3 linked regions of the Astyanax mexicanus genome follow. The protein of the gene in region 1 purifies or fractionates together with the protein of each later gene. This does not show direct contact. Links are inferred from orthologs where the notes say so. Each region holds a gene or a part of one and is shown on either strand. Other genes may lie near its edges.

Region 1 (11,005 bases):
TTTACAGCACGCTCTCTACATAAAATTATCTTAGACTCTGCCTGTTTGATCTGAAGCTGTGTTTAACAGAAGCGCAGGAGTGTGAACTCAAATCAGAGCTGCAACTTTACCATCAGCGACTCAGAACCTACTTTAATCATTTTATGAATCATATCTGTATAGATTGCTGCTGCAGGATCAGGGTAATAGCAGAAACTTTGTAATTTATTAATTGTTCAGTGTGTTGAGCAAATTTTCCTCACCCTTTATATACCAGAGATTCCTGTAAGAATCAGGACGCTGTACAGAGCCAGAATAATCCACTGAAAAGCATCTTTAAAATACTGCAATTCCTGCAGTTCAATCTAACCCAGTAAACACCAGTGCAACATGTGGGTCAGAACCACAGCCCAAACTTAATTTAGACTTTCCTTTAAGGAGAACTGAGAGGAATTAAATATTTCACAGATTTAGATCTTATAAAAAGCACTGATTGAATTAGTAACCCACATCAGATGTTTATACAGATTCCCACTTGCAAATTACACCGGCATACACCAGCACTAATAGTGCAGGGAGGTACTCTTCATTTTGAAGAGACCCGTCTGACGCTGTTCTTAAATCCTACAGAAACTATATCAGTCTGAAATTGGGTATATGCACAGAGTTACCATCCACTCGAGGCCATGTATTAGAACCAGAGCTTCTATTCAAAACAGCTGGTGACCTCTAGTGGCTACAGAAACATTTCAATAATCTTTCTCCTGGAGGTAAGAATCCCACCTTCTTTTCTTTAAAAAATTAGTGAAGAGTTCTGAACATTAGAAGCTGCTAGAACACTGAACACACTTCCCATAGACCAAGAACTAAACCTATTCTGATCACCTGAAGCCCCAGAGAGTCTTCACTTGTGTAAACTGACAAACTGAAAGTTTAAAGAAATTTTTGTGGAAAATGTTACTCAAACTACAATTTACACTCAACATTTAGTAACAGGAAATAGTGACAAGTACTTCCACTTCCCAACCAATAAACTCCTTAAAGTAAAAGCAGACCGTAAGACCAAGAAATGCTAACTGAAGCATGAGACTTGAAAATTGCATTTATGTACAAAAATAAAGTGGATTGAGATACAGGAAGTAGAACAGAAAAGTTAGAACATTCCTCTAAACTACAAAACTGTGGCCATGAATTAACAGTACAGGTTATGCAATAAAATAAAAACGCAAGCCTGCTCATCACAATTAGGCAGTACATTTGGTATACAAAGTAGTCTTAATGATTTTACAAACCTGCGTAACTTCTGTACACAGACATTAAAACTGCATGTTCTGTACAAAAGGAAAGAGGCATTGCTTAGAATCTGTGGATGTACTGCAGGCTTTATTACAACGATCTACAAAGTGAGGGTAAAGACAAGCACCCCCATCAACTCCTACAGTCAGACCAAGTTCTCTCAAAAAAGAAGAAAAAAAAAAACTAAAAACAAAAAATTGGTAAAAAACACGAGATTTAAAAGGAGAAAATATTGGTACACAAGTTTAAATCACTTCTGAAGACGGTTAAGTGTAAAATGTCCACCATATTCAAAGCTGTAACAACCACCATCTCACACCAGGAGACATGAACACGGCTCGGCAGGTCAGCGTGGTTTAGCTGGTATCCATCTGAGGATAAAAGAGAACAGAATTCAGAAAAACTCATTTTACTCCTCGTCAAATCACTGTCCCAGCCACTTTATTCAGGAGCATAACACTACTTTAAATCTCCATTCCACCTTAAATACTGCTTGACCCCAAAGACAGGGTTTAGGGGTCTGAAGGAGACATGAGTGAGCCATAGTCAGGTTACGTACCCTGGCATTGTAGGCATCTAGCTGAGCGTCCAGTTCTTCTGCCGAGAGCTGCTGTTTGTTATTGCCTCTTCCACCTCCTCCTCTACCGCGGCCTCGGAGTCCTCCACCCCGACCTCCACGGCCTCGCTGTAAACCCCCGAAACCCCCGGTTCTGTTCCTGTTCATTCCTCCTCCTCCACCACCTCGATTCAAACTAAAATTGAAACAGAAATTATTAGGTGAACATAAATAAACCCTCACTAATTCAGACAGAGCAGGAGAACCTGTACTGACCCCTGCATCGGGGCTCGCCTCTGAGCGTCAATCTGTGATGTCACCAGCTGAATGTTCATTGGACGACCTGTGGAAAAAAATAATTACATTTAAAAACTTCGTAATAAGTGACAAGCGAATAAATCTGTAAAAGATTAGCAATTCCAACTAAACCCTACACCAACCATTTCTACCTTTGGGCAATAACACATCTGAACTCACTCAGAAGGAAGAAATGGCTGATTTAGGTTTAAGCTTCTCTGAAAAGGAACAAGTAGAATAAAATCAAAAAGCTCACCATCCAGTGGAACCCCATTGTACTGCTTCATAGCCTTCAGAGCGTCTGCTTTTCTCTCGAAGTGAACGTCTGCGGTGCCGAGGCTCCGCCCCGACCGGTCATAATGCACCGCAGCTTTCTTCAGAGTGCCGAATTCAGCGAAGAGTTCCTTCGGACAAAAACAAGCGAAGTCAGGATTCAAATCCAAGACTGTGCGTTTTAATACAGACCCCCCCCCCCAAATCTACTGCACCACTGTACCTGAATATCTGCGTCTGAGACGCCGAAGTCCAGATTGGACACCAGCAGTTTTCCTCCAGTCTCCACTCCAGCTCCGCCGCCGCCACCACCGCCACCTCCAGCACCGGCACTGTAGCCGTTATCGAACAGGTCATGCTGCCACTTGTCGGGGAGCTGCTTCGGCTGCAACAGACGAAAGAGAACGCACCTGCTGACTTCGGGTCCCGGCTGGCACTGACTGTCCACTCGGCAGGGTGCTGGGGCAAGCAGGGCCCCGCCTCAACCAGGCCAGCGCATCTGGCGCTCACCACGATTTCCAGCCACCCCTGCCCACCCCATCACTACACAAGTACGCCAGTGCAGGGAAAGGAGGCAACAGAGAAAACTACACACTGACTAAAACTGCAGTTTTAAACATTTTAAAAAGAGCCCTCAATAAACTCATACGTATGCAAAGAATAACTCAAACCAAATAAACAGATTAAAAAATGTAAGGCAGTTATAAGAACAGAACGTGACTTTTAAAAGTTATTGCCAAAACCAGTTGGCCCATGATTACGCCCCATTTTTGCCCACATGCTAGGCTACCATCAACATACAGGAAGCAGTTTTAGTCTAAAATAACCATTAAAAACAGTCCTAACCCAACTTTTAACTGTTACTCGTCAAAAACTGTGCCTTTACTACAGATTCACTGAACCATATAGCAACCAAAAGTACCATAAAATGATTTATACAGAAATACATTTTTTTTTTAGAAATCAAAAAGTCATTCAGGTTGTTTACGTAAAAGAGCAGATGTGGAAGTAAATAAGATGTGTTAGTAAAGAGCAGAACACCAGTTACTGCCAGCAAAAGAGTAAAAAATAATAAAATGATTAACTGACTAAGGTTTGCTAGTATTTCCAGGTAAATCTGTGGTAATATGCTAATCAGAATGTGTATATAACTGCAAACCAAACATTACTACTAGAAATTGTATTTATAATACAGATTGTGTTGGTGATTAATATCTGGATTGTGTTTTCTGATGTGATCTCAGGTTAAAACTGCTAAACTAACAAACCCCAGAGTCTTTAAATAAATCTCTGCAGGTCTTCAGAGTTCAGATCTCCAGAAGAAACAGGTGGTGGATTCAGCCAGTCCATCAAAAAATTAAAAATGGAGATAAAAATAGAGTCCAGTGCTGCCTGATTAAAGCTCTTGAGGAACTGAAGAGATCAGCGTCCATTTTGAGAGCACGCCATTTTGACTGAGCTAACTTTATATAAGTGTTTATATAATCTCCTATAAACTCTAAACCTGCAGCAGAGATTAACACAGATTTAGAGATTAAAGAGTCCATTCTTCATAAGGAGAATCCGCGGTGAATCTGATATTCAGGCTGAAATTAAAGCCGTTTCTCTTCATCAGACTCCGAACAAAAGATCCGCACTCTTCAGCTCCCGCAAAAAACACAAAACACCGCCGGTCTCCCCGCTGATCTCCGGGTCTCCAGACCCGCCTGGACGCTGAGAGCAGAACTCTGGAGGAGAATAAAGCAGCAGATCCTCCGCTTCTCCCTTTTTTCTCAATCACTTCTTCACTATTTCTCCATTTCACTGCGCCCCGCTGCTGCTGTTCCAAAATGGCGCCGGCCTGTGTGCCCTAGTTAGGGCGCTTTAGCCACGCTGGATCCGCTCAGCTAAACCCCGTGGGAGAACCGAGGTTTTGGTTTTGGGGGGGAAGAGAGAACAATAATGCACAACACATTTTATAGGAACATTTTTCCGGAGAGGCCCGGGTTCGGGCTGAGCTAGGCCCGGGCCCTGCGGCCGCTGCTGCGGATTCTCCTACCCTGCTGTACGGCGCGGGTCTGCCGCCTCTGCCGCGGCCCAGGCTCTGCCGGCTCCGCATGGGCCCCACCGCTCCTCCGCCCCGGCCTCCGAATCCTCCGGCACCGAGTCTCCCCACGCTGCCGCCGCGGCCCCCGCCGGCTCCCACTCCCCGGCCCCGGCCGCCTCTCCCCCCGCGGCCTCCGCCTCCACCACCGCCGCGCTGCTGCTTATTCTGCTTAATAATGTCATCCAGAGACATGTCCATCTTATCCGCCATGCTGACCCTGCGCTATACTTCTCTTATACTCCGCTATATACTACACTAATACTCAGCTATACTCCTGTATACACCGCAGTATAAACTCTATAATCACGCGCCGCTGATACCCGGATCTATCACCCGCGCGCCCCGCCGACCGGAAACTGCTCCCTGCCGCCCTCACGCGCTTATAAGCAAGGAGACAGTGACGCACTTCCGCACAACATTACTTCCGCCGCTGGGCGGAGACAACTCAACAACAACAAAGATACATATATGTATATACACACATATATAAATACCTCACTAAAACATCAGGCCTAAATCATTAATGCTTTAATTTCCTGTTTTTTAAACCAGTTAATTTATTTCTGTTTAATCTTAACTTTACTCCAACACTGTGACTAAAGTGCAGCAAATCTGACAATAAATAATCTCCAGTGTTTTACAGTTATTTAAACTTTCCCTTTTAATGAGTTCTACTAAGAGAAATCTATCAAAGTTTAAAAACTAACTTCCAACTACCAAAATTTTATCTAGTTTCCTTACTTTAATACATACACAGTGAATAAACATGGAACAGTTCAACAGCACTGGAACTGGGGAACTTTTTTTTACATTGTGAGACGTAACTTCTAAAAATCTAATAATTCAAATAAAGCAGGGGTATGAAAATGTTTTCATCGGTTTTAAAGGAAATAAACACAAATCATACAATGCAAGATTTTCACTAATGCTTTCTTAAAATTCTTTAATTTAAACCCAATATTAACACTAACACTATTCTATTAGAGAGCATATGCGCAATAATTCTGTACTAAATTTCCATAGCAATATTTATTATAGTATATATGTATCATAGTTCAGGTGAGAATTAGAGCTTTTGTGTTTCTGTGGACCAAACTGAATTCTCACAACCAGAGAAAAAAGCCCATTTGCTGTATTATTCTTATTATTGTTACTTTATTCACTTTAAGGTGTTTCAGATAGATGGACTGTTTTACACATCTTATTAAGGCGATCACTCAGAGACTCAGAAAGCCATTGACAATTGATCAGGTGAATGGTCAGCTATTCTCACCTGTGCTCAGGTGAAAAGCAGCCTATTGTTCTTCCAACTGCCTTTACCTCCCCCAGACCAGAACCGATCCCTGCGGCAGTTTCTATAGTCCTGAATCATCATCAGCTAAAATACCGTCTGGGCCACAATTCCAAGTGTTGTACAAGCTTCTGTCTATTAAATATTAATATACACAGTAGAAAAACATTAAAGGAGATTTGTCCAAACTGCACACACACACCTGAGAATTTAATACTTAAAAAGTGACTTTTGTGGACAGTGACCTTCTCTCCTCAGCTGCACGGTTAATTTGTGCTCCTGGAAAATTATAATAAATTATAATATAATAAATCCGGGTCAGTGCGTTTAATGTTAGTTTAAATTGATGTAACTACTGATTATTGTTAGACTTGTGTGAACTCTCATTATCAGAATACCCAGGCTGATATAAATTATTGATTAGTGTTGAACTGTTCAGCAGTAATCAGATTATGGATTATGAAGTGCATGTTTACACTCTCAGTGTCTCAGTGCTGTAAGGAGAATGAAACGTAAAGAGATAAAAGTCTCTTTTTTTGTATTTTAAGGCTTATTTTTATTTATGATGCAGAAAAAGTAATTAAACTCTTTGAAAGTTTTATTTATTTATAAAAAAAAAGTTTCTTAATTAAAAACCTTTGGCTTTCCAAACTCGCCTCTATAATCATAAACTCGTCCGTATGATCACGTGTATAACCATAAACTATAAACTTTCTTTCCATCTAAATTCCTAAAAAAAAACTGCCCCTCCAGAGTAACATGGTTTAAATGAGTTTATGGTTTTTAGATCGTCGAATCTTCAGAGTCTGTCCCTCACTGTCCGACTCCACGTTTCTGAATAAATACACTTAACAACGAAAAAAATCCAATTCCAAAAACCAAAAACCAGGAGCCGAGAGAATCCCTGAAATCCGACTCCGGGCCGTCCCGAACCCGCAGCCCGAGCAAAGCGCAGGGGTTCGACTGGGTCCTGTCCGGAGGCAGAGCGGGGGGTCAGTTTACCCCGAGCGCGAGTCAGAGACTCCGGACTGAGGGGGACAGGTCCATGTCCCGAGGGCAGGAGGGAGTAACAGAGGGACAGGACGGGGGGACGGGACGGGGGGACGGGGGGGGCTGGTGATCTCGGAGGACAGGGGGGAAGAAGATCTAGGAACTCTCTGTGTTTCGCTTCTTCAGGTCGCCAAGGTCAAATGGGGTAAAAGCTGAAACACAGATGAAATTAAGATCAAACACTTTAACAGTGACACAAAAACACATTTACTAACTAAATATATGTACATGTTCCCACCCGATAACAACAGAGCTGAAAAACCCTTCTGGATGTTTTTAAAGTCGTCTGGTTAACGTGTTGATGCTTTTATAGTGAGGAGCTGCTGCAGGTGGAACTTCGTCCCAGTTCACTCCCATTTAATTTAAATGGAAAGTGCAGCAGATGAGATTTCTAAACTAAAGTGAGAGAGGCAGAAAATAACATATTTTATATTTAATTTTTTTTTCTAATTTTTATTTTATTTCCCCCCTAATTTTGCTGTCAATTACCCATCACTAGTGATGGCCCAACACCAGGATGGTAAAGACTAGCACACGCCTCCTCCGATACATGTGAAGTCCGACTCCGCCTCTTTTTGAACTGCTGCTGATGTAGCATTGTCGAGTAGCATCACAGCGCTAACACTCGGAGGAAAGCGCAGCGACTCGGTTTTGTTTGTTTGATCAGCAGAAGAAACCTGGACCCAGATCCCGAACAGTAGATAGAGAACGCCTGGCGTCTCAGACCGTCTCTACAATTTAATTATATAATTATACATAATACTATAATACTATTAATACTATAATTATCACACAGACACTCAATCAACTACGCGCCGTTATAACGAGCCGGTATCAGTATAAACAGTGTTGGGAAGTAACGGATTACATGTAACGGCGTTACGTAATCAGATTACAAATTATGAGTAACTGTAATCCGTTACAGTTACTGCTTCAGTAAGTGGTAATCAGATTACAGTTACTCTGCTAAAATTAAAGGGTTACATTGCGGTACTTTCCTATTTTTGCTCTTCCAATCCAACACTGACAAAACGCAAATAACATTTTGCGGTGAAATCGCTCTGATATGACAGGGAACTCTCTGCCCCTCCTCCCGTCTCGCTGCACACACACACACACAGGGAGGAGGGGCAGACAGCGGCTCCGCACACACAACGAGACGAAATTAACTGACATTTTGGTCAACGAATAAAAACGAGACGAAAATGTTTGGCAGGGACGAAATCCAATCAGAACTAATTTAGGTCTGTGAAAGGTAGGGACCAGCTAGGAAGAGATCCAATCACTGCTACTTTAGCGAAGGTGGAGTACCCGCCTCTCCTGCAGCAGCGCCGCGCGGAATTAAACTGTCGATACGGAGCTCGACTGGAAGTTAACTCCACAGAGTTCAGCGATATATTTCTCTTTTGACGTCGCGAAAAACAAGATAACGTGTAAACCGCGTGGAGCGACTCCATCTCCGGTAAAAACACCACTAATCTTTCAGCTTCTGCAGACCAGAGTCACACAGATCTCCATGCAGAGATCCGCGTTTTAATACTGATGTTATTTCATGAGCTGATGTGTTTAACTCGGCAGTGCACTAAAACACAGAACTGATACAGAACTCACTCATTAAGATCCGATCATCTGTTTAGTCTCACAGTGGGAAAGATATAGCTAGTGTTAAAGCAGGAGCAGCTCAGAAACTCAATAATATAACCAAAATAAAACAATAAAATAAGTGAATCTATGAACCCAAAAGTCTGTGTAAAGTTCCTTACAGCACTTTCTCATCAGTTTCTCACTTTAACTCATGAAGTCTCTCAGTACATCCTGAGAGCATCTCTACAGGACAGTGTGTGAATGTGTGTTCATTTATAGACTGTAGCTCCAGTAGGTGTGCTGGGTTAATGCTGGAGATAAAACTAGATCCTTTAAAAGTTTTTGCATCTACAGCTCTGTTTAAACTATAATTTAACTATTCAGATGTTTTATGACCTGATTTCTAGAGCTAAATTTTAAATGTAAAATATGTATAGTCACACACCTACAATAATAATAGTAATAATAATAATATACATTAAATCATATATAAATATATTTCACTTTCAAACATTAACAATATTACTCAAGTGGTTATTAAACGTTTCATTTCGTATACGTGTAGAGTTAATAATTCAAGGGAACTGATGAACAAGCATTTACATTTACACCCTTTACATTTTAGTCAACTAAATTTACTGTAATTTTAGTCGACTATATTCTTATGACATTAAGTCGACTAAAACTAAAAACATTTCAGATGACTAAATTGTGACTAAAACTAAATGCTATTTTCGTCACAAGACTATAACTAAGACTAAATCACAATTTGTTGTCAAAATTACACTGGAGGCAAACCTGCAAGTAGATAGCTTACAGTTGTTGTTACATTGTTTGGTTTTAAATGGTTTTATCATCAATTTATAGAAGTGTTTCATAAAATTGTTTGATGAAATGGTTTCATAAGTATTTTTATAGAGTGATTGAAAAGGCTGTTTTATTTGTTTATCTATTTGTTACATTCATTCAGGCTTAAAAAAATGACAATATTTAAAGTAATCCAAAGTAATCAGATTACGTTACTCACTTGAAGTAATGTAACTGATTACGTTACAAATTACATTTTGAGTGATGTAATCAGTAATCTGTAAGGGATTACATTTTAAAAGTAACCTTCCCAACACTGAGTATAAACCGTATCAGACGAAAGTGAGAGTTCATCTGATTCTACTGACCAACTGTAAAAACCACGACCCAACAGTCCCCAACAGTCACTGATCATCCCGATAACGGTGTAAAATAATCTGATTATTAATCTGCAGGGATTAAAGGAGCTGCTCACAGTGAAGGTGAGGGTTTGGGTTCTTCTCTACGTACTCCTGAGGTCCACGCTCTCCGTTCTGCAGGGATTTAATATCTCTGAGAACACACAGCCACGCTGAGAACGCAGAGTTACAGCCAGTTTATAAACATCATTAATCATTAATGTAATTAATAATCATTAATCCAGGTGGATGTGGAGATACTGACTGTCGTGGATGAAGCGAACGTTTTCCTCATGCGCCGGCGTGAAGAGTTCACCAGTGCTGGTGGGAGAGCGAGGGCTGGAGGTGCGTCTGTAGGTGTGCATTCTGGGAGCAGAGGAGCTGAAAAACAAGACGTGAGAGATTTTATTAGATTACAGAATTTAATATAATTACAATTATTCACAGATCAGCTGGGAAGTGTTTTAATTAGTTGTGATAAATAATAATAATAGTATTATTAGTATTAATAGTCTGGTGATAAATATTGCGGTAGTGATTCACAGTGTTTAGTTCTGACACATCGTTTTAATCAGTTAAATAATTTAATTACATTAACTTTGGCAGACGCTTTTGTCCAAAATGACTTACAATAGTAAAAAAAAGTAAAAGTAAAAGAAGTTAAAGGTAAAACATTTTTTATTCAGGGCTTAAAGGAGGTCGAAGGGAAATAATGGAATAGAGGAGTGAAGGAGGGGAAGATCATTGAAGAAACACTGAGAAGCTGCTTCACATTTTATTAAAAATGAGTTTTAACTGATTAATTAGCAGCACATTTTGAAACATATGGGACAGTACCTGTAATTTTGTCTGTTAATGTAAATTTCTGCACGTCACAGTGCTGAGATAAATATTATTATAAGAATCTTTTAAGATGTTTTAAAAATATTGTGATATAATGTACTATATATAAACACCTATCACCCGCTTCTGTTTGTAATTCTGCCTTAATAAAAATGTAATAAAGAAAGGAAAATGTGCATTTTATTAACATGATTTTATACTTTGTCCAGATTCCATTTACACTTTAAAATTAAATCGATCCCAGTGTGATTTAACTTTACTGCATAAATAAACTAAAACAAAAAATTAAATAAATAAAAGTTTAAAGATAATTCAGCTTTAAACTCAGCTGCTGATCTTTAGAAGAATAGAAACCCCTACATTTATCTATAGGGATGGAAATAAAGTGAAACGACAGCAGTTTACACAAAACCACAAAACAATAGACAATTCACACGTTCTCCCCACGGCCAATCAGACGGACCATTTCACCCACACTGTACTGAATTACCCACCAGTAAATAAACAGATAAATGTTTTATATCTTCGGATTTCAGTAAAAACTA
Region 2 (9,458 bases), on another chromosome or scaffold:
AATAATAGAGAGAAATATAGAGACTGTGCAAAAGTTACGGACATCAGTTGCATTTGATGTAGCTGCTGAGGTCCTCCAGGAACTGGATGTACTCTTTATGCTCCAGCGCTGTGCTCAGCTCAATCAGCTCATTTGCAAACGTGTTGTCGACTCCCCGGTCGGCCAAGAAGTCCATAAAATGATCATACAGGGCCTGTGGAGATGATATATAACAATTGGTGACATTAAATATACACATACTTATTTTGAGTGCCACAATTATATATATATATATATATATATATATATATATATATATATATATATATATATATAATTTTTTTTTATAACCAAAAGTGCTTCTACTATAGATTTAATTATTTATAAGGATCAATCAATTTAATTTATGAATTAACACGAATTCTGTACAGGGTTCATACACGCTTTAACCAATACATTTCCATGATTTTTTCATGACTTTTCCACGCCTTCAAGGCAAATTTTCATGACCAAATGATTTTTAAAACACCAGTGCAAACATGCACAGTAAAACAAGAAATCAACTACAACAATTAAAATTGATTATAGTAGGTCTTAAATGAATCTGATAAAAAGGTTGACAATCTTAAATGATAAATTGTGTCAGATCCTGAAGGCTCCATTGTGTAGGGCTAAATTACTTAATTAACCCTGAGCTGACGTATTTGTTGGCTCAAAATAGATTTTCTCCATCACTTTCTGGGTTTTTTTTAATTTTCCAAAACTTATCCAGGCCTGGAAATTGCTATTTTCAAAAATTCCATATTTTTTTCCAGGTTTTCAATGACCGTACGAACCCTGTCTGAAATTAATCCCACTTTTTCTTTTTTAAGATTAGTCTCTTTTATATAACTTAGTGCTTCCTGGTTGATTGTAAGCTATATTCTGGTTTTAGGATGTTTTATCAACCTTTGTGTGACATAATTTAGCAACTGTAATTCTTTTATTTAAAGAGTTTATCCACTTTTGGCATGTTTGAAAATTGTAATTCAGGGGCGCAAAAATGACCATGTAGAGGCGGGGCTTAGAAAGGAGTAGGAGGAGATATTGAAACCAGTAACAGGCTTTTTGCATCCACTAATACAACCACCAGCGAAAACATCATTATTTATAACTGCAATAGGGGTGAAACTGAAAATTACATTTTCTGTTTCTAGAAAAAGTACATGCAGTTGCATTGTTTGAGCACCAGAGGACAGAATTTCAGTAGTGAAGGCTGTAGAACCATTGGGCGTAAGCAAAGGGTGGTGGCCATGTCAATCAATTTAAATTAAAACCAATCACATGACCACTTTTTGAGGTCAATCTATTTTTTTAAAAGCCAATCAACAGCCAGAGTTAGATGTCCAAAACACAAATTAATAAAAAAAAAATGCATTTTCTTTACATATTATGAAAAATGGTACCAGGGATGCCACAGAGCTGTATCTAAAAGGAACGATTTATTAACAAACATACCAAACAAAATGAAAGAAAAAATAAAAGAGTTGGAAGTTTGATGATGTTTGTTGGATCATCTTATCTATGTTCTGTGTATCAGTTTATTTAAACCAAACAAATTTGGACATATAAGGATGTCTTGTTTCTTTTGGCTTGTGGGAGCTGGGACTGAGCCTCTAGGGGGCACACTAACCAGATCTATACAAGCTAAAGAGTAATTTACAGGCACTCAGGTGTATTCTTACCCAGTCCAGAGAGTCTGTGTTCAGGGTGTAGCTGGTCTCTTTCCAGTCTTCATCTCCTTCAGGCTGGAAACTCACTTCCTGAATTGCGAAGATATCGCTCTCCTCCTGCCCTTTACCATGACCGATCTGCTCAAGCACAAACAACTTTAGATATAGTAATATTCAACACAGCACTCAGTATTGTACTGTATATTAACCTTAGACTGGTTTAACCAGCAGAGTCTGAGTGTTCAGGAGTTAAGAGGTCTTACCTCATCTTCTGGGAAATGGCAGTCGAACACCAGGGCATTTTTTGCCCCCTGTTTCAGGACTTCAACAACAAAGTTAGGTGTCGAGACGATTTCAGGCTAAAAGACAAGCAAGAAACAACAAAAGAAGCAAAACATCAAATTAAAGATTTGTTAGAACCGTGTTTAATATAAAAGCTGCTGGGAGAAATTCTCGACATTCAGTAGCAGCACGTATACACAGTACACAGACGTTCCAAAAAAAAGAATGAATAAGATAAGACACAAATAAAAAATACAATCAAAATAATAAAATAATGCTCTTATAGTGTCTTTTTTAGTGTGCATGTATGTGTGTGTGTGTATATATATATATATATATATATCCACTATTTTGGTTCGCATCTGTGTGCTGTTACTGTTTTCTCATCTACCCTTAAAGATACTTTAAGGTGGTAGAATGTGACTATTCTTTCATTTAAGGTGGAATGGAAAATCTAATTATTAAGCAAATTTCTTCCAGAAACAAGCTGCAATAATTTCATGCTTCTGTTTGTGGCTTCTAGTTTTAACTGCATTAAAAATCATAGGGGTTTATTTTAGTGCACAAGTCAGAAATGATGGTGCTGTAATCTGTGCATGTATACTGGGGAAAGACCTAAAACACCATGCAAGAATGTGGTGTAAATGGCAGAAAAACAACATACATTCATGCATTACCAATACATATATATATATATATATATATATATATATATATATATATATATATATATATATATATATATATATATATATTGGAATTTGGTAACCATTTGTAAATAAGTTTAGAGTGTGAAAAATGGAAGGATGCTTTACCTCCTTTTCCTCTGCCTTCTGTCCATGCCCTGGCTCCTCCTCTTCCTCCAGGGTTGGGGGGATACTGTTGTTAATGTTGAATGTGATGGTCACCCTAAGGGAAAAATAAATCTGTAAGTCTAAGATCCCAATTTGGCTAGTCCAAATATCCAATCCATTCAGCTGCTACTCAGCTGTATATCCCCTATCATTAGTGATGCCACAGCACAAGAAAGGTGAAGACTAGCACACGCCTCCTCCGACACATGTGAATTCAGACTCCGCCTCTTTTCTAACTGATGCAGCATTACTGAGTAGCATCACAGCGCACTAGGAGGTTCTGATACATCAGCTCACATACAGACACCTTGTGCTGATCAACATCACCCTTTGGAGTGATGAGGGGAAAGAGCGCCATCTATCCACCCAGAGAGAGCAAGACAAACTCTCTCAGGGCTCCTGCAGCTGATGGCAAGATGCATGACCTGGATTCAAACCACATGATCTCCTGAATGACATTTTATATGCAATCATGATTTTAATAATTGTTCATAAAAATCGTACCTCTCTCCAGAAAGGGAGCGAATGAGTTTCGCCTCTGTGCCGTTGAGTTTGAGCTCCCATCCTCCAGACATTTTGGGAAGAGTTGCACTTTTCTGGATCTTCTTCTCCTCTTTAATTTCATCTGAGAGGAATTCTGCAAACGCTTTATCGCCTGGAAGAGAAGAGAGGGATGATCACCACCACACATAAAAAAATGCTTATCTATTAAAAATGACAAGAAGCATTGACATTAGCTCCTTTTTATTTTAATAATTTTATATTATATTATTATTATATTATATAATATTTTGATGTAACAAATCATGTACATGAATGTACATGTGTAAATAATTGGAAAAGAATAGTTAATATGCAATAATTATTGCATGGTTGTTTCATTTTAGAAATCAGCAAAATGTTGTACAGCTTGTGGCTTTTAAAATGTCTTTAATGCAGGTAATTAGGAGTTCATTAGAAGCGTCTAACTAGTCTGTAGGAGCCAAAACTCTTAATGGTTTTTAGGGGATAACATACGCAATATTTTTCCCTACGAAATACAATAAAAAATTATACAATTTATATTTATAATTCTGGATTTTATTTTTGATATTCTTTCTTTCTCTGTTAAAAATAACTTACCCTTAAATTTTTTGTTCTGACTAAAATAAATAATGGCCGTTCATGTCTTTTTCAGTGGGAAAACTTATAAAATCAGCAAGGGATCAAATAATTATTTACCTTACTGTACTTTTTACAGTTACTAATTTTATAAAGCACCTTAAACTGGATCCTTAAATATGCCCTCCACTCAAAAGTTCTTGATCTGGATGGAGATGGTCATCCAAGTTAACCTACAGTACTCAACCTCAACCCTGCTCTGACTTTCATCAAGGTCACATTCCTTGTAGAAATGAACGGAAGTAGAATCACACATTCAGTACCATTCATTTACATTTAGTTTTTTTATAGAATTAACCCAAATAACCAGATATAATATCCTTTTAACTTGGGTAGCTGTCAAACTCATACACCAACATTTACAGTCACGCTCTGTCTCTGTATACTACAAGTATATTACATTAGTTAGATCTAATTAAAGTATAAAAAATAAGAAGTATAGTCCAATTTATGAGAGGCAAACCAAAATTAAGACTATATAATAGCTACTATATTTATATATCTCATAGTATTACAGTAAATCTTAGTTATAGAAAGATAAACTAGATAATAAGTCAGCTCCCTCTCCAGCCTTGGCCCCAGGCTCCTCTGTGTCTCTCTTTAACCGGCTGATGAAACCAGACACACGGCGTTATATAAGCGGATAATCCCCCTTCAGATAAATTAGACAGGTTACCTTCAGTGTGGAGACCCCCGCAGCCGCAGGGCACCGCCGGCAGCCCCCGCTCCGTGCTCAGAAGCTTCGGCCTGCTGCCCGAGGTCGCGCCGTTACTGCTGCACAGCATCCAGATGGAGCGGGTAAAAGGCCGAGTGGAGGCCGAGCTGGGAGCGCACAGGGCCGGGCTCGCCAGCGCGGCCCTGGCGGCCGGGGCTTTGGTAGAAAGCCGAGCGGCGACGCTCACAGCACGGCTCAGGGACTTCAGCATGGCGGCCTGATCTCCAGCAGAGTGAAGGACTGAATAGCCTGGAAACACGTGGGGAAGGACAGGGGACGGAGCCGAGTGCGAAGCCGGAGCTGATCACAGGGCTCTTTTCAAAATAAAAGTCTCTGAGTTTCAAAGTCACTGCTCACATATACACTGTTTTATTGTATAATTGAATTATATGTGTCTCACTTTTAACTTTAAATATTTAACAGCGTAATTCATTAAAAATATCATATTCATAAAATACATAATTTAATGTTTAGGCATCACATTATTAAATATTTCAAGTTTGGCAAAAAGTGAAATTCATTTTGAACAAGCAAAAAAATCTATAACAATACAAAAAATATAATATAAATAAATTAAAGTAAAAAAAACTAATTTCATAATATGTGTTGCTACAGAGTTTTGATGTCTTAACTAGTAATCTACAAGGTAGAAAATAACTTATAGAAAAATAAATAAAAACATAAAATGAGAAACGTTTGACTAGTACTGTGTACATTGCATATACAGATATAATAAAAGAAACGAAATCAGTACTTAATTTTCAGCTGGGGCAACAGAAGCTTAGGCCAGTCCCTAATGTAATAAATAAATTGCTAAATTAAATTAAAACATATGTAAAATTTGTTAAATAATTCGATAACATGTTGTAAGAAATAAATATAATTGATTAATATAAAAGAATAAAGGATTAAATCATCCTTTCATCCTAAGCAAGAAAAATGATAAAACATCAAAAATCTGAAAAATGTTTATATATATATATATATATATATATATATATATATATATATATATATATATATATATATATATATATATATATATATATATATATAAACGCTATTCACTATTTGTTCTTAGTTTTTAGGGTTTTTTTTAGATGTCTTTACTAGTAATACATTTAATTTAAATTAAATAATTATGATAGGACTTTAGGGGCATATCAAAATAGTTTCCTTTTATGTCAGGTCTTGCTGAAATATTTTTTTTCTGTAAACTTTTATTTTGAAATGCTGTGCCTCCTCCCCTTTTCAGTGGTGTTTCCACATTGCTAGTGAGAGAAGAGGTGTTTTAAGAGGCTGAAGTTACTTCAAGTCATTTAACCTCCTTTTTTTAAGTTATTTGAGAAGTGGGTGAGTATATGGCTGTATTAACAGTGTAATATTTAATGTACAGTGTTATATTATATGATAATGGCGCTGTTCCGGTGTAAACTGTGTGTGTGTGTGTGTATGTTGAGCAGCGTGTTGTGGAGTGATGCAGCTGTGCGGAATCTGCAGTGAAAATCTCCCTAAATACAGATGCCCAGCCTGCAGGATCAGATAGTGAGTATACCACAGTTATACACTCCCATACTGTACCAGCCCAACAGTTAGGACACACCTCTTTTTCTCATTCAGTGTGTTTTGTTTTCTTTCTTCTTATTAATCTTTTACATTGTAAATTTAATATTGAAGTATATTTTAAAGCTATACAGGAACACATGCTGAATTATTCTGTAAACAAAGTGTTTAATAAACCAGAAAATGTTTTATACTTTAGATTATTCTTAGTAGCTCATTCATCTTAGAGGACAGATCTGCACACTCTTGGTATTTTAATCTCAGTGTCTTCATGAGGGAGAGTCACCTGAAAAAGTTTTCTCAGTATCTTAAAGGAAGGAGTTCCTGGAGGTGCTGAACAATAGTTGCTGCTTTTCCTTAACGCTGTGAAGCTCCAGCTCATCCCAATTAAATCACCTCAAATCACCATCTCAGTTCATCAGGTTTAGATCAGGGGATTGGTCAGGTGGAGGACAATTTTTTTTTTTTTTTACTGTTTACTACATAATTCCATATGTGCCCATTAGGGGTGCGCGATATGGCTCTAAAATAATATCACGATATTTCAGGGTATTTTTGCGATAACGATATACTTGGCGATATAGGAAAACTAAAATAATTCATTCATTTCAGGAATATAGTATAATAGTATAACAGAATAATCATAATGTGGCAAAATAAATAATATAGCATAAAGTAATATAATGCAGCAAAAAATATTGCAGAATATTTAGTGCATGCATATTGTCGCTGTCCAATGAAAAACTCTGATCTCCAAAACAGAAAAAACCTTGTAAACTTTCAGTGGAAGTCAATGTAAAAAGAGTTTATTTAAGGTCATTTTGAAGAGTTTCTATTGGTCTATGCATTAAGAAATTTTGGCACAGTGTAAGGGACAGTTTGTCTGTTCAAATTATGTAGTAAACTAAAAATGAACAAAAATGGAGATAAGTGTTTTTCATAGGACAGTGATGATAAACTGCTAACTAAAACAATTATACAATAAATATACTTAAAGCTTCACAGTAAATAATAGACTACTTTTAAGACAGAACAGCCCTATTATCACAATATGGATTTTTAATATCATGATATTTCTGTGTCACGATATATTGTATACGATATAATATTGCCCACCCCTAGTGCCCATTAATTGTTTTCCTGTCTTTAATATTAAGCTACAATGTAGGAAATAAATTAAATAAAGAAATAAATAAAGAAAACATTGAATAAGAAGGTGTGTCCAAACTTTTGGCTGATATATGTATGTGACTCAATACATATCTATAATAACAACTATTAATACAGACAATAAATAATAGCAGGTATAAGAGAAAATTAAAGGTGCTAAGGACTTGTCCCAAACTGTGCCCCATAAGTCCTTTTGTCTACTTTTGACTTAAACAGACAGGACATAAATATAGGAACTGTGTACACATGTATGCCTACTATATCTGTGGTTATGTGGGAATCCATATGTGAGAATCCAATGTTGGTGGATGCAGTGTAAATGAAAAGTAACTAAAGTGAAGTGCAAGGTGGATGGTGGACTAAGCGCTGTTTAGATGCCTGATGACGTGAGGGAAGAAGCTGTTTCTGCATTGGCTGCTCTGAAACCAAATAATAACGTTTGTGTTCTTTTTTTGATCGTAGCTGTTCACTGGGTTGCTTTAAGAAACACAAAACTGATGGTAAGTAATTTTCTGGTTTAATGTTTATTTTTGCTGTAAATGATCTGTTCAGCTTTACTAGAGTTGGTCATATAACATGTAACATGTGTTCCCCTAAACCTAACTCTGATGAATAATACTTTTCTGTATGTTTTATATAGATTCCTGTCAGCAAGTGAAAGATACAACACCTCCTGTCACCACACCACTTCCAGAAGTCTGTGCGAGCACTGGTGAGTGTGTGAAGAGCTCCAGAAACCACAAATAAGCATTATAAACAGGTTTCACACTCTGAACTGGTTGTTTAAAAAATTAATTAATTAATTAAAATGTGATTTCAGCTGAGGAGCCCTGGACTGCTGATGATCTCCTGGATGAGGACAGCCAGTCAGACAGAGTTCCTCTTGAAAGACTTCAACAATTAGGTATGTTTTTGGTTAATTAGTTGGCAGTTTGTCATGGTTGTATATTTGGTACAGTAAAGTGTTTCCTACATTATAAATGAATACTAAAGTAATCCAGACTATGAAGGAACACACAAGGAACCATGTAATAATTGAAAAGTGTTAAACAAACCAAAATGCTCGTTTCTGAAGCTGGTAACTCTGATAAACTTATCCTGTACAAAAGAGGTGACTCTTGCTCTCATTTTCCTGGGGCAGTCCTGATGAGAGCCAGTTCCATCATAATGTTTTTGATGGTCTTTGTGACTGCACTTGAGGATTGACTGACCTTCATTTTTCTTAAAGTATTTTTTTCGCGGGCACCTAGTGGTCCAGCGGTTTAAAGCGCTGCCACTATAAGCAGGAGGTCGCAGGTTCAAACCACCTTTATGCAGCTTTACCATCAATTAGAGGGAGCACAATTGGCCCTGCTCCCTCCGGGTGGGTAGATGGCGCTCTCTCCCCACATCACTCCTAGGGTGATGTCCACAACACAGGGCTCTTTGAGCTGATGTATCAGAACCGAGTCGCTGTGCTTTCCTCCGAGTGCGCTCTGATGCTGCTCGGCAATGCTGCATCAGCAGCAGCTTGAAAAGAAGCGGTGGCTGACTTCACGTGTATCGGAGGAAGCTTGTGTTAGTCTTCACCCTCCTGTTGTGTTGGGGCATCACTAGTGATATAGGGGGAGTCCTAAAGAGTGGGTTGGGTAATTGGCCGTGTAAATTGGGGAGAAAATGGGAAAATTATAAAGAAAAAAAAAAAGTATTTTTTTTCTTTACTTAGTTGAGCAGTTCTTGCTTCTCATAATCTGGATTAGAACATTACTCAAATAGAGCTTAATTCACTGTATACCTGTAACTCTACCTCTTCACTACTTTACAACTGATGCTCTCAAACACATTAAGAGGCAAGAAATTCAACTGTCTGTGTTTTATTAGTTTAGTTAGATAGTAGGGTGGAGCGATATGGCCCTAAAATAATATCACAATATTTAATGGTATTTTTGCGATAACGATACTCTTGGCGATATGACAAAACACTAAATTTAAAAAATAATTTCAAGAATACACTACTGCAACAAAATAAAAATTGTATTTTAT
Region 3 (10,083 bases), on another chromosome or scaffold:
CCTCCTCATCCTCCTCAAAATTTAGTTCAGCCAGAAGTTGACTGGTCTTCACAACAGCATCCTCTCCGTTCTGTAAAACTCCATCAGGTCCGTTCACCTTTACACACACAGACAGAAAAATAAGCTAACTGCTAAACCAACCCCTTAAACGGAGAAAACATTTCAGTAAAGCTGCTTAAAGAAGTAGCAAGGTAAACCAGCCCTTGTGTCACTATTCATGAAATAATATATCACTAATAGTCATTATTCTTTTGGATAAACATCATTCATTTCTAAAAGTGAAACAAATTCAGATCCTCTCTTTTACATTAAATGGAAAAACAATTTTACATCATTAACTGGAAAGCTGTTTTTGGCACCCAAATACATACAATTACATACAATTACATACGTACAGCAGTACCAATGCCAATCAAAAGTTGGCAGGTTACTTATTTTCTACACTGTAGATTAATATTAAATACCTGATAACACCTGAGGGATACATATGGATTTATGTAGTAAAAAAAAAAAAAGAAGAAGTATGTCTGGGCTTTTATAGGATATTTTTTTTTAAATAAATAAATAAATAAATAAGGTATGATATGGTGTAGAAAGATTCGATGAGCTGCTCACTGAATTTATCTGATTACATTTTTAATTTGGCATCAACGTTTAGAAGTGAGTCTGGGCTCTTATGGGTTAAAAGGTGCCTTATTTTTGTTCTACACAGGTAAAGCTGGGAAACAACTGATAGTTTAACTAGAATAATAACTAAAGGTATATTGGAAAGCCAGTTCAGTCACTGTGGTAAAGAGTCTAAATTTCTCCCCTGTAGGCTTGGTTTGCTGGTTAGTTTGGTTAGCAAGCTTAGCTTTGTCAGCTGTTGTGGTGCTAACTTCTGTCAAGCTGAGTGCTTAGCCGAAAAGCTAACCAATAGTTAACCTACAGTTTAAACCAAAATAACAATAAATAGATGCTATTAAAGGGGACATGAAACATTTCAGTTTGTACAAGTTTTCTAAGGGATTAAATATAATGGAATTTATTTGGGGGGAATTTTTTATATAAAATGTTTACACACTAAATTATAATATATTTATGTTTGTTACGTTTGAGCTAGGGCGCCGCCATGTTGCCCGTGCAGCACTGGTGACGTCACGAGGTTGGTTGGTTTAAGATCCCAGGCATATAGCTAGAGGAAAAGAGCGTATTGTTTGTCGAGATTATGGATGAAGACGAAGCTGAACTAGGCTAACATGGAGCATTTGCTCAGAGATCTTTCCTGTATAAACCTGAGCAGAACTTTTCAGATGCTTTTCTGAGAGCGAGACGTTTTGGGAGTGTTTATTCTCTCTCTACGTGGAGCCGTGCAGAACCCTGCAGCACGTCCACAGCAGGTACTGCCATCCAGTTAACCAGCTAGTTTATATACATTTAGCTATTTAACATGCAAAGTCCAGAGTTCATTAAGACTGAATGAAACGAACATGATTTAAGTGGATATTGAAACACCAAGGCGCTGTTTGGTTGATAAACCGTTCAGTTTAGAAGTTAGAATGCTTACTGGGTACTTAGCTTCATCTAGTTAGTGTTAGCTAGTTAGCTAGCGTTGGCTAGCTAGAATAAGATAGCTAGCTAAGTAGCTAACGCTAGCTATGTTATCTTTAAATTGTCATTTTATCTAGATTTTCGGCAACGGTACCTCTCGCTGCTCTGCTGGGTGGGCGTGTTGTTTGGCTGGTGCGGCTCACAGCTGCTGCTCTCATAGTAACGTTACCCATTCAGACGGTCTGTACATCTCAGCTGATCAGAGGAAAAATAAAAAACGGAGGAAAAAAGCCTCGGACTGCAGCTTATTTATCCGGCGCTAATGCTCCTGACTCAAACCCCTCTCCTTCACATAGTCCTGGTCTAGAAAGTGCTCGCCACTAACCCCTAGCGTTGCAGATAACCGGAGGATTCTCACGATTCAGCGCTGCGAGGGTATGAAAGTGAAAGTAAATATTTCTCATTCCTCACCCTATTAAATTTCACTACTCCCAATATTACTACACACAGGGGCAATACAAAAGTGCCCCCCCGCTCTGCATTGAGTTTTGGTTTGGATTTTATTATTTATTGAGGAGCTAAATTACGGTATTCTCATAGATTATAGTAGTGAGGCGTGCGAGAACCAACCTCGTGACGTCACTTTCAGCGCTGGGACAAGATGGCGCTGCCCTTACTTAAAAAAATGACATTTAGATTGCTTATTATTTTAATTCCGCTTCACTGACAACTGTTAAACTTCTAAAATTTGTTAGAGTGAAAATACATCTTGTGAATTAAACTAAATACTTGAAGTGTTTCATGTCCCCTTTAAACCTAGCTAGAGAAATATTTAGAAATTCTCTCCTATAGACTTGGTAGGTTTGCTGGCTGGCTAACTTATAGCTAATGTAGCTTTGCCACCTCCTTAGCCACTTTAAAAAATTAAAACATTTGTGTTGAATGATATGCATTGCAGTCTTTAAAATTATAAAATGTACATAAATAAAAATAAAATAAATAAATGTTGCATGTTAGTTTTTTTTAAATATGCATTTCAATATTCAGTATCCGGTAAACTGGACATTTGTAAATAAAGGCATGAAATCTGCAAAATTATCAACTAAAATGAGATTCAAGGAAAAAACATAGTCCATTAACACTACATTAACCATCTATGGCATAATTTTCGGTTATTGCACCTTTCCATGCCATACAATACCTTATGTATTTTTAATATAATGTTACATAGCATATCTATGTTCAAAACAATGATGTGTACAAGGGGTTTCTAACTATGTATATGTGCAGGAACATGTACATTTGGCTGTTAGTATTCTTACATTTTTCTTGTAAACTTACTAAAAATATTGTTTTCTTCTGCAGTTAGACCACTTTTGTTAATCATGTTAAAGCAGTGGTTTTCTTTCATCTCTGCTCCTGAAAACCTCTTCCTACTACCCTGCATTTTGGGTGCTTTCTTTATCTAAAACACCCGATTCAAATTACAAGCGTGTTATAAAGTCAAAATTTAAATTTGAGTTTGCTATATCGACAGTGACTGACAAGCTTCCAAATATTATATTTTTTCCTCCCCCAAAAAATATATAATTCTTCTTTTTCGACACTCAAATACATACAATTAGCTACATAAATACAGTAATAGTAAAAAGTCTGGTAAAAATTCAATATTTTTCTTAATTTATTTATTATTAATATTAAGATTAACACTAAAAGGCATTAAAATAAAAGGGAAAACATAAGACATTATTTTAAGAAATAGAATAAATAAAACTTAAATTTTCCAGTAGAGTGCTGGACATATGTAATACATTGTAAATTAGATTAATATTAAAAGACATGAAAAAAGAATTTAACTACTTGACTAAATTTAATTTGGCATCAATATTGAGAAGTGGGTCTGGGATGTTATGGGTTAAAATGAGTAATGGTTGTTTACTTATGTTCTGCAGGAGTAAACATGAGAAAGAATGCTTTAAATTAATTTTAAGTGTAAATTGAAATTATATTGGAGCGAGGAGTTCCTAGTTTGTTACCTGTAGCCTAGGGTGGTTTGTTAGTTAGCTATCTAGGCTAGCTAGCTTAGCATGGCTTTGCCAGCGGTTGTGGCGTTAGCTAACGTTGGCTAACTTTTGCCAAAAGCTGACTGCTTAGCCAAACCAGCCAAAAAGCTAGCTGTTAGCTGAAAGTTAGAGCGTTGATATGCAGTTTAAACCTAAATAACAGGAATAAATAGATGATATTTTGTATTAGTCCAGCTAGTAGTGTTTAGAATATAGTGTTACGCTAAAGTATATCTTAGCTAGGTAACTATGTTTACAGCTCTGGAAAAAATAAGCGACCACTTAAACACCTCTGGAATAAGTTAATCAAGAAGAAGATGGATGATCACAACCCATAAAACCAAGCTGAACTGCTTGAATTTTTGCATTAGGAATTATCCAAAAGCAGTGTGTACGACTGGTGGAGGGAACATGCCAAGATGCATAAAAACTGAGATTAAAAACCAGGGTTATTCCACCAAATATTGATTTCTGAACTCTTAAAACTTTACTAATATGAACTGGTTTTCTTTGCATATTTTTGTTATTTCAGCCATTTCTCATTTTCTGCAAATAAATGCTCTAAATGACAATATTTTTACTTGGAATTTGGGAGAAATATCGTCCGTAGTTTATAGAATAACAACATTTTTCATTTTACTAAATATTATGCCAATAAATAGCAAAACTCAGAGAAACTGATTCACAAACTGAAGTGGTATTTTTTTTCCAGAGCTGTAATAAATGTCAGCGAGGCTAAAAGCGCGTTAGCTAGCTAAGCTAAGCTAACGTAGGTAGCTAGGTTACGCCATTATTAACACGGGCACGGTTAGCTAGGCTAGGTTAGCCAACTAGCCTGGATGCTAACGAAGCTAAGCTAAGCTAAAGCGCTATTTTTTAACACGCAGAAAATAAACAAGCCCGCTAGCTAGGTTAGCTAACAGGTTAGCTTAGCGTTAATTCCGCTAGCCAGCTCCGTTTTCCCCCCACGCCAACTCCACCTCGCGGTCTAATATTCCACCAAACGCAGAGGAATGGGAGTTAGAGACCTGGTTGTCCAGCTGGCTCTGGGTCTGGCCCTGTGTCTGGGTCTGGCTCGGCAGGGTAAAGTCGGTGAACTCGAACTCCGAGCCCTGGGTATCGGCTCCCAGCAGCTCCGCTTCCTCCGTGTCCAGGAAGGTGAGAGTCTGCGAGCTCGGCCCGTACGCCTCTACGCTCATATTCTCCTGTATTCGTATCGTGACCGGCGGCGTCTGTCTTCCAAACCGACCCCCTCCGAGACCAGCGCGCTGAAAAACGTGCAGAAACGCAGCCCGAGTCCGTGCGCGGAGCCCGTTTTCCGTTAAACTCGGAGCAGAACGACGTTTCTCAAATGAAAGCACACTCGCTCCAACTCCCACTCGAAACGGCGACGTAAGCACCAAGCAGCGCACGAGCTGCTGGCGTAGAGCGCAGGGCGGGCGCGTGACGTCCACACAGACCTGCACACATTTTCAGAGAAGAGACATTTATCATAGCACTAATAAAATAAATAGTTATTAATTACATTTTTGACCGTTTGAGGCTAAATGCCGCTAAAAAATAAATAATAATAATAAAAAAATAAATAAATAAACAAACGTTATTTTCACATTTTTGCATTTTGCAAGGATTATACCATCAGATTTGTTCTACACGGTCAGTGCAACGTTTATTGATAAGTTTCAGGCTAAATGCAAACAATGTAAAATTAGATGTAAAAACGAATTATTTAACTTGTATGTAGTTTAGTGTACAAGAAATACGTTTTCCCATTTTAGTTTTCTCTGCACCTCACAATCGGGTTTTTAAGAAAAATTAAAAAGGAATCTTTTCTTTATTTTCTGATTTTTCAAATTTGCATTTTGTAAGGATTATACCATTAGATTTGTGTTACACGGTCAGTGGAACGTTACTTAATTCAATTTTCTGACCGTTTGAGGCTAGATGCAAAAAAAATTAACTTGCATGTAAAAACTCATTATTTATTTTTCACATTTAGTACAGTGTAGAAGAAATAAGTTTTCACTCAATTTTTATAATGCTTAGTTTTCCTTCTCTGCCACTCACAATCAGAATTTTAGGGAAAAAAACTTTATTTTTGAATTTTTCCATTTTTTACATCTTGTAACAAAAATTAGTTGGATTATACGGTCAGATTTGTGATACAAGATACAAAAATGGAAAAATCTGAAAATCGAGGAAAGGAAACTCCATAATTTCATTTGTTCAAACTATACTTGGATAGAGTACAAATTGGACAAACAGAAAGGCTGCAAATATTTGCAAATCCCTATGAATATTTTCATAAATGTCCCTCTCATTTATTATTTATATGTATGTTTATGTTTGTTGTTATGTTTTGCTACTGATTGGATTGATCATGTGAATTTTAATTCAGAAGAAGATTTAAAACTAAAAAAAAAAAGAAAAAAGGGAAAAGACGATGCTGATGCCACTTGTTTCGGATTTAAAGCAGTTAATAATCAAACATAGACTGCAAAAAAATCCATTGGCAAAACTATACAAAATCTATCTATATTGAGAGGTAAATACTTATATTAAAAAAAAAAATCTGCCAATGGGGTAAGCTAATCAAATTAACTTGGGTAATCGAAATTGCTGTTTTAATGCAATGAAAACAATGGCTTGCGAATCACTGTTTACACAAAATACTGAAGTTATGTTAGAACTAGTTGAGAATTGCTGTAAATGAAGAATATTAAAAAAAATCATTTTTATAATATCGCCCAGCCCTTAGGTAAGCAAATGTTCATTAAGACTTGGTTTGGATTTGTAGTTAGGTATGTCCCGATCACATTTTTAAAAAAATATTCAGTACCTAGTATACTGAACATTTGTAGTTAAGGGCATGAAATCTAGAAACATAATAATAAAATGTTCACAGCAGAGTGCAGAAATGATTTACTTTTTTTTCTCACACTCAGAAGTGTGATCCCAAATTGCCTAATGTGCAGTGAGGAACTGTGATTCGGGTAAAATGCATTAAAATGTTTTCTGTCAAATTCATGTTTCTTGTATTTTATGACATTTGTGTGGTATATGTACTAAAACCAGAAACAATTCATTTTCATCTTACCTTTTTCCAACATTTTCTTAACCTGAAACAAACCATGCCTTTAAGAATGCTAGCTGCATGAAAAAAAACAGTCTACAGTCATGACTGCAACACCCTTTATAACTTCAGGGTAAACTTTGGGCCAAGCTATGAAACATGTAAAGCGGGTCAACCCAAGTAGCATGGGGTCCTCTGATTGAGTCTTGGTTCCTTCCAAGGTTTCTTCCTCTTAAAGGGAGTTTTTCCTTGCCACTGTGTCACCATAAAAATTGGCATCTCTGTGGTGCTGCTCGGAAGGGGCGTGGACCTGTTTTTCTCTGTAAAGCTGATTTGTGACAGCTTTGTTGTAAAAAGCGCTATAGAAATAAAATTGAATTGAACTCTGTGTGTCATTTGTTAAATAACAGTGTCTTTATTTATCATGACGTAGATCAAATCACATTTTTTCCTGCAGAAAATCCATTTAATTCCAATAAAGCGTTCACAAGCATTTTTTTTTTCTCACAGCTGAAAATAACAAACCACTCCACAGGTTAAACGTGACATGATGAGAAAGACTGTTGGTAGGTAGACATCATAAACTGGAGCAACCAGCTTCACAGTTCCAGATTGGTCCAGTGTTTCTTTAATAAACAGACAAACAAATAAACAAAAATGCTCCTTTAAAAAAAAATAGACTGAAAATTAAGTAAATAAAAGTAAATTCTTCCACTTCCAGGATTTCCTGAAACTAAAACTTTCCTAAAGCTATAATATTTCTATAACTTATATAGGCACAATTCAGGCCCATAAGTTTACTAATATCATTGCGGTCATATAAAACGGTTCAATAAACTGAAATAGAAATAGAGATAGGAATTGCTCACATTAAAGTTAAGGGTAATATATTCTGCATAATTAAATAATTAAGATATATACCAAAAGACATTCAGAGTGTCAAATGCTTGATTCCCAGGTCAGAACTCTTCACAGTGGTTGTGTGAGTTAATAAACACAAACATGCTAATACCTTAATACATTAATATTTTAATTAGCTTATTATTCAGCAACACAAACACTGCATAACCCTGATATGTTATTGAAGAATGTGTTGAATTTTATAGGTGTTAAACGTGATTGCACCATATCTACTAACCAACAAATATATTATATTATATATTATTTTCAGCATATTATATTATATTTCAGTTTTGAATGGAATTATCCAATTTTATACAACATACACATTTGTGTGATTTGCGTTTTGATTTTGATAAATGCTGTGTTAAATCAAAACCACTGGAATTCAAATCACACTGTACTTACTATTGCAAAGTCATAATAAGTCTCTCTTTAACATCATATCACTCCGAATGACTGTGTATATCTTAATCATTGAACTGAATTATGCAGAAATTCTGAATTTATATTTTTTCCTATTTAAATATTAAGAGCATTATATACATTAATTTGGAGATGCTTATTTATTAAGACAGCAGTGATATATATGCTTGAGAATGTGAACTCTGACATCATTGTGTGGAAAAAGGTCACTGAGAGATGACAAACAACAGGTTATAAAGGTCAACCCTGATTTCACAGTTTCATTTATCACAGGAAAGCTGGCTGACAGTTAGCTGTAGTAGCCCTGAAGAGTTAGCTGTGTACAACGTTGGCAGAAGACCCTTGATAAAAGCAGAAGGCAACAGGATTTTCAAAGCAGTGTGCTTTGACCATGATCATGTATTACAAATACATCATTAATAATAATAAAAAAAAGATACTACTAGGGATGCACAGAATATTTGGCAACCGAAAGAATTCAGCCAAAAATGGCAAATAAAAAGCACTTTAGGTGTTCAGACAAAAAAATAAAAACAGAATAATTTACTGAAGGTACACTGAAGTAAAACGGCAGTGTTTACTCTAATGTTAGGATTTTTTAAAGCAAAGCTGATGTGTAGAGAGTGAGCAAACTACAGGGATAATATATAAAAATATAATTATATATTATATAATTATATATTAAGATAATTACTTAGTTAGAAATTTATGTTAATTTAAGTTTATGACTTGCTAGAACAGCACTGCTGAAATAAATGTATGGCCAGAATAGCACTACTGAGGTAAAGTGTAGTTCTTGGTTGGTTTGTCTGCTGGGATATTTAAAATCTTTAGTGTGTCTTTGAAAAGCAAGTCTACTTAATATTTTTACTTGTAAAAAGCAGCAAACTTAAAAATGTCTTTTTTTTTCGGTTTAGGCACAAACATTTTACTTCGGTGCATCCCTAGAACATCTAATAACTTTTAAGAGCTAGCTAATATTTCATTGCCATAGGCACTGTACAGGCTGACATTTCTATCCTTACCCCCACTTGTTTAGCCCACTCTTTTAGTGCACAACCCACTTGTTACTCATTCCCACCAAATACAACACGTGCTTTCACTTTCAGTATTAACATGAGTGTCTGTGCTAAAGCTGAACACTCCAGCTTCTCATTTTAACTGAAAATAAAATGTGTAATACTTTTATTGTCACCGTCACATCAAATCTTGTATCTCCAAAATGATAAATTTACATTAAAAGCCTGACCCCTGAATATAATGATCTAACTGGGAGGATAGTCCAGGCTCATGTTTAATTCAAAGTGCTGTAGTGTGCTAATGTAACATACAGGTGGCACACTTAATTTTAAGGGCCTTTTCTTTTTTTTTTTTTTTTTTACACTCACACTTTTTGTCTTCCTAAATGGGACTATGGTTCAATTGGGCAAGTGTGAATACAGTGATTCACTCGGATGCGGACCATATAATTACTACTACTAGCTATAAGTCAATTAATTGCATTGTTGAATTCTGTTTCATAGCTGTGCAATAGTTGTTAAGTGTTTTTAAAATATCTAATTAAGATCATATAATTGTTGTAGATCGATTTCTACATATTTGTTGAATTTAGCTTATTTATTTATTATAAAACTATAAGGCGCAGTAAAAATTCTTTAATTTTCCCACAAATATTCAGTGCTTATAATCCGGTGCTCCTTATGTATGAATTTTACCAGTCAGGTATTAACTAAAGTGCAGCATTAAACAGGAGTTTCAGTAAAGTTTCTCCAGCACTGGGGCTGGAGCAGTATTAGCATTAACTGCTAACTGCAGCACTAGCTCTTTCGCTGTTCAGGGGTAAGTATATTCGACTGTAGTTTACTGTGTTAAAACAAGGTATGTGGGATGAACCGATAGCTGAGTGTGCCCTGGGTTACCGGAACACTCAGGGTTTCTCAGTTTACCACTATTGGGCAGCATTTACTAGTGCTAACCATGTCTGGCTATTGTTGCTAAACGGGGCTGGCTAGTGCTGCTAACTGAGACTGGCTAAGCGCTTGCTAACTGTGGCTAGAGCTAGAGCTGCCAAGACTAGAAAAAAGACTAGAA

Evidence for each region. Proteins that work in one complex are often made in the same cells at the same time.
Region 2: the proteins of alyref (region 1) and complement component 1 Q subcomponent-binding protein, mitochondrial purify together in Homo sapiens (affinity purification with mass spectrometry; 3 studies listed by BioGRID and IntAct, with this or other methods). This does not show direct contact. The link is inferred for Astyanax mexicanus from reciprocal best matches to the Homo sapiens genes ALYREF and C1QBP.
Region 3: the proteins of alyref (region 1) and upf1 purify together in Homo sapiens (co-immunoprecipitation; 3 studies listed by BioGRID and IntAct, with this or other methods). This does not show direct contact. The link is inferred for Astyanax mexicanus from reciprocal best matches to the Homo sapiens genes ALYREF and UPF1.

What each region holds. Positions count from the first base shown.
Region 1 is NW_026040069.1:82,155-93,159, reverse strand, and holds alyref (THO complex subunit 4), read right to left. Parts: upstream 4,863-11,005; 5' UTR 4,698-4,862; coding exon 4,440-4,697; intron 2,787-4,439; coding exon 2,625-2,786; intron 2,533-2,624; coding exon 2,385-2,532; intron 2,175-2,384; coding exon 2,108-2,174; intron 2,028-2,107; coding exon 1,835-2,027; intron 1,647-1,834; coding exon 1,632-1,646; 3' UTR 1,067-1,631; downstream 1-1,066. Other genes in the region: mcrip1 (mapk-regulated corepressor-interacting protein 1), read right to left, coding at 6,925-6,980, 9,695-9,790, 9,883-9,998. UniProt on the Homo sapiens protein: Functions as an mRNA export adapter; component of the transcription/export (TREX) complex which is thought to couple mRNA transcription, processing and nuclear export, and specifically associates with spliced mRNA and not with unspliced pre-mRNA.
Region 2 is NC_064408.1:12,096,020-12,105,477, reverse strand, and holds the start of complement component 1 Q subcomponent-binding protein, mitochondrial, read right to left. Parts: upstream 4,985-9,458; 5' UTR 4,915-4,984; coding exon 4,665-4,914; intron 3,483-4,664; coding exon 3,332-3,482; intron 2,883-3,331; coding exon 2,789-2,882; intron 2,051-2,788; coding exon 1,955-2,050; intron 1,830-1,954; coding exon 1,704-1,829; intron 194-1,703; coding exon 44-193; 3' UTR 1-43. Other genes in the region: znhit3 (zinc finger HIT domain-containing protein 3), read left to right, coding at 6,181-6,248, 7,899-7,936, 8,077-8,148, 8,257-8,340.
Region 3 is NC_064411.1:48,584,216-48,594,298, reverse strand, and holds the start of upf1 (regulator of nonsense transcripts 1), read right to left. Parts: upstream 4,985-10,083; 5' UTR 4,793-4,984; coding exon 4,622-4,792; intron 98-4,621; coding exon 1-97. UniProt on the Homo sapiens protein: RNA-dependent helicase required for nonsense-mediated decay (NMD) of aberrant mRNAs containing premature stop codons and modulates the expression level of normal mRNAs.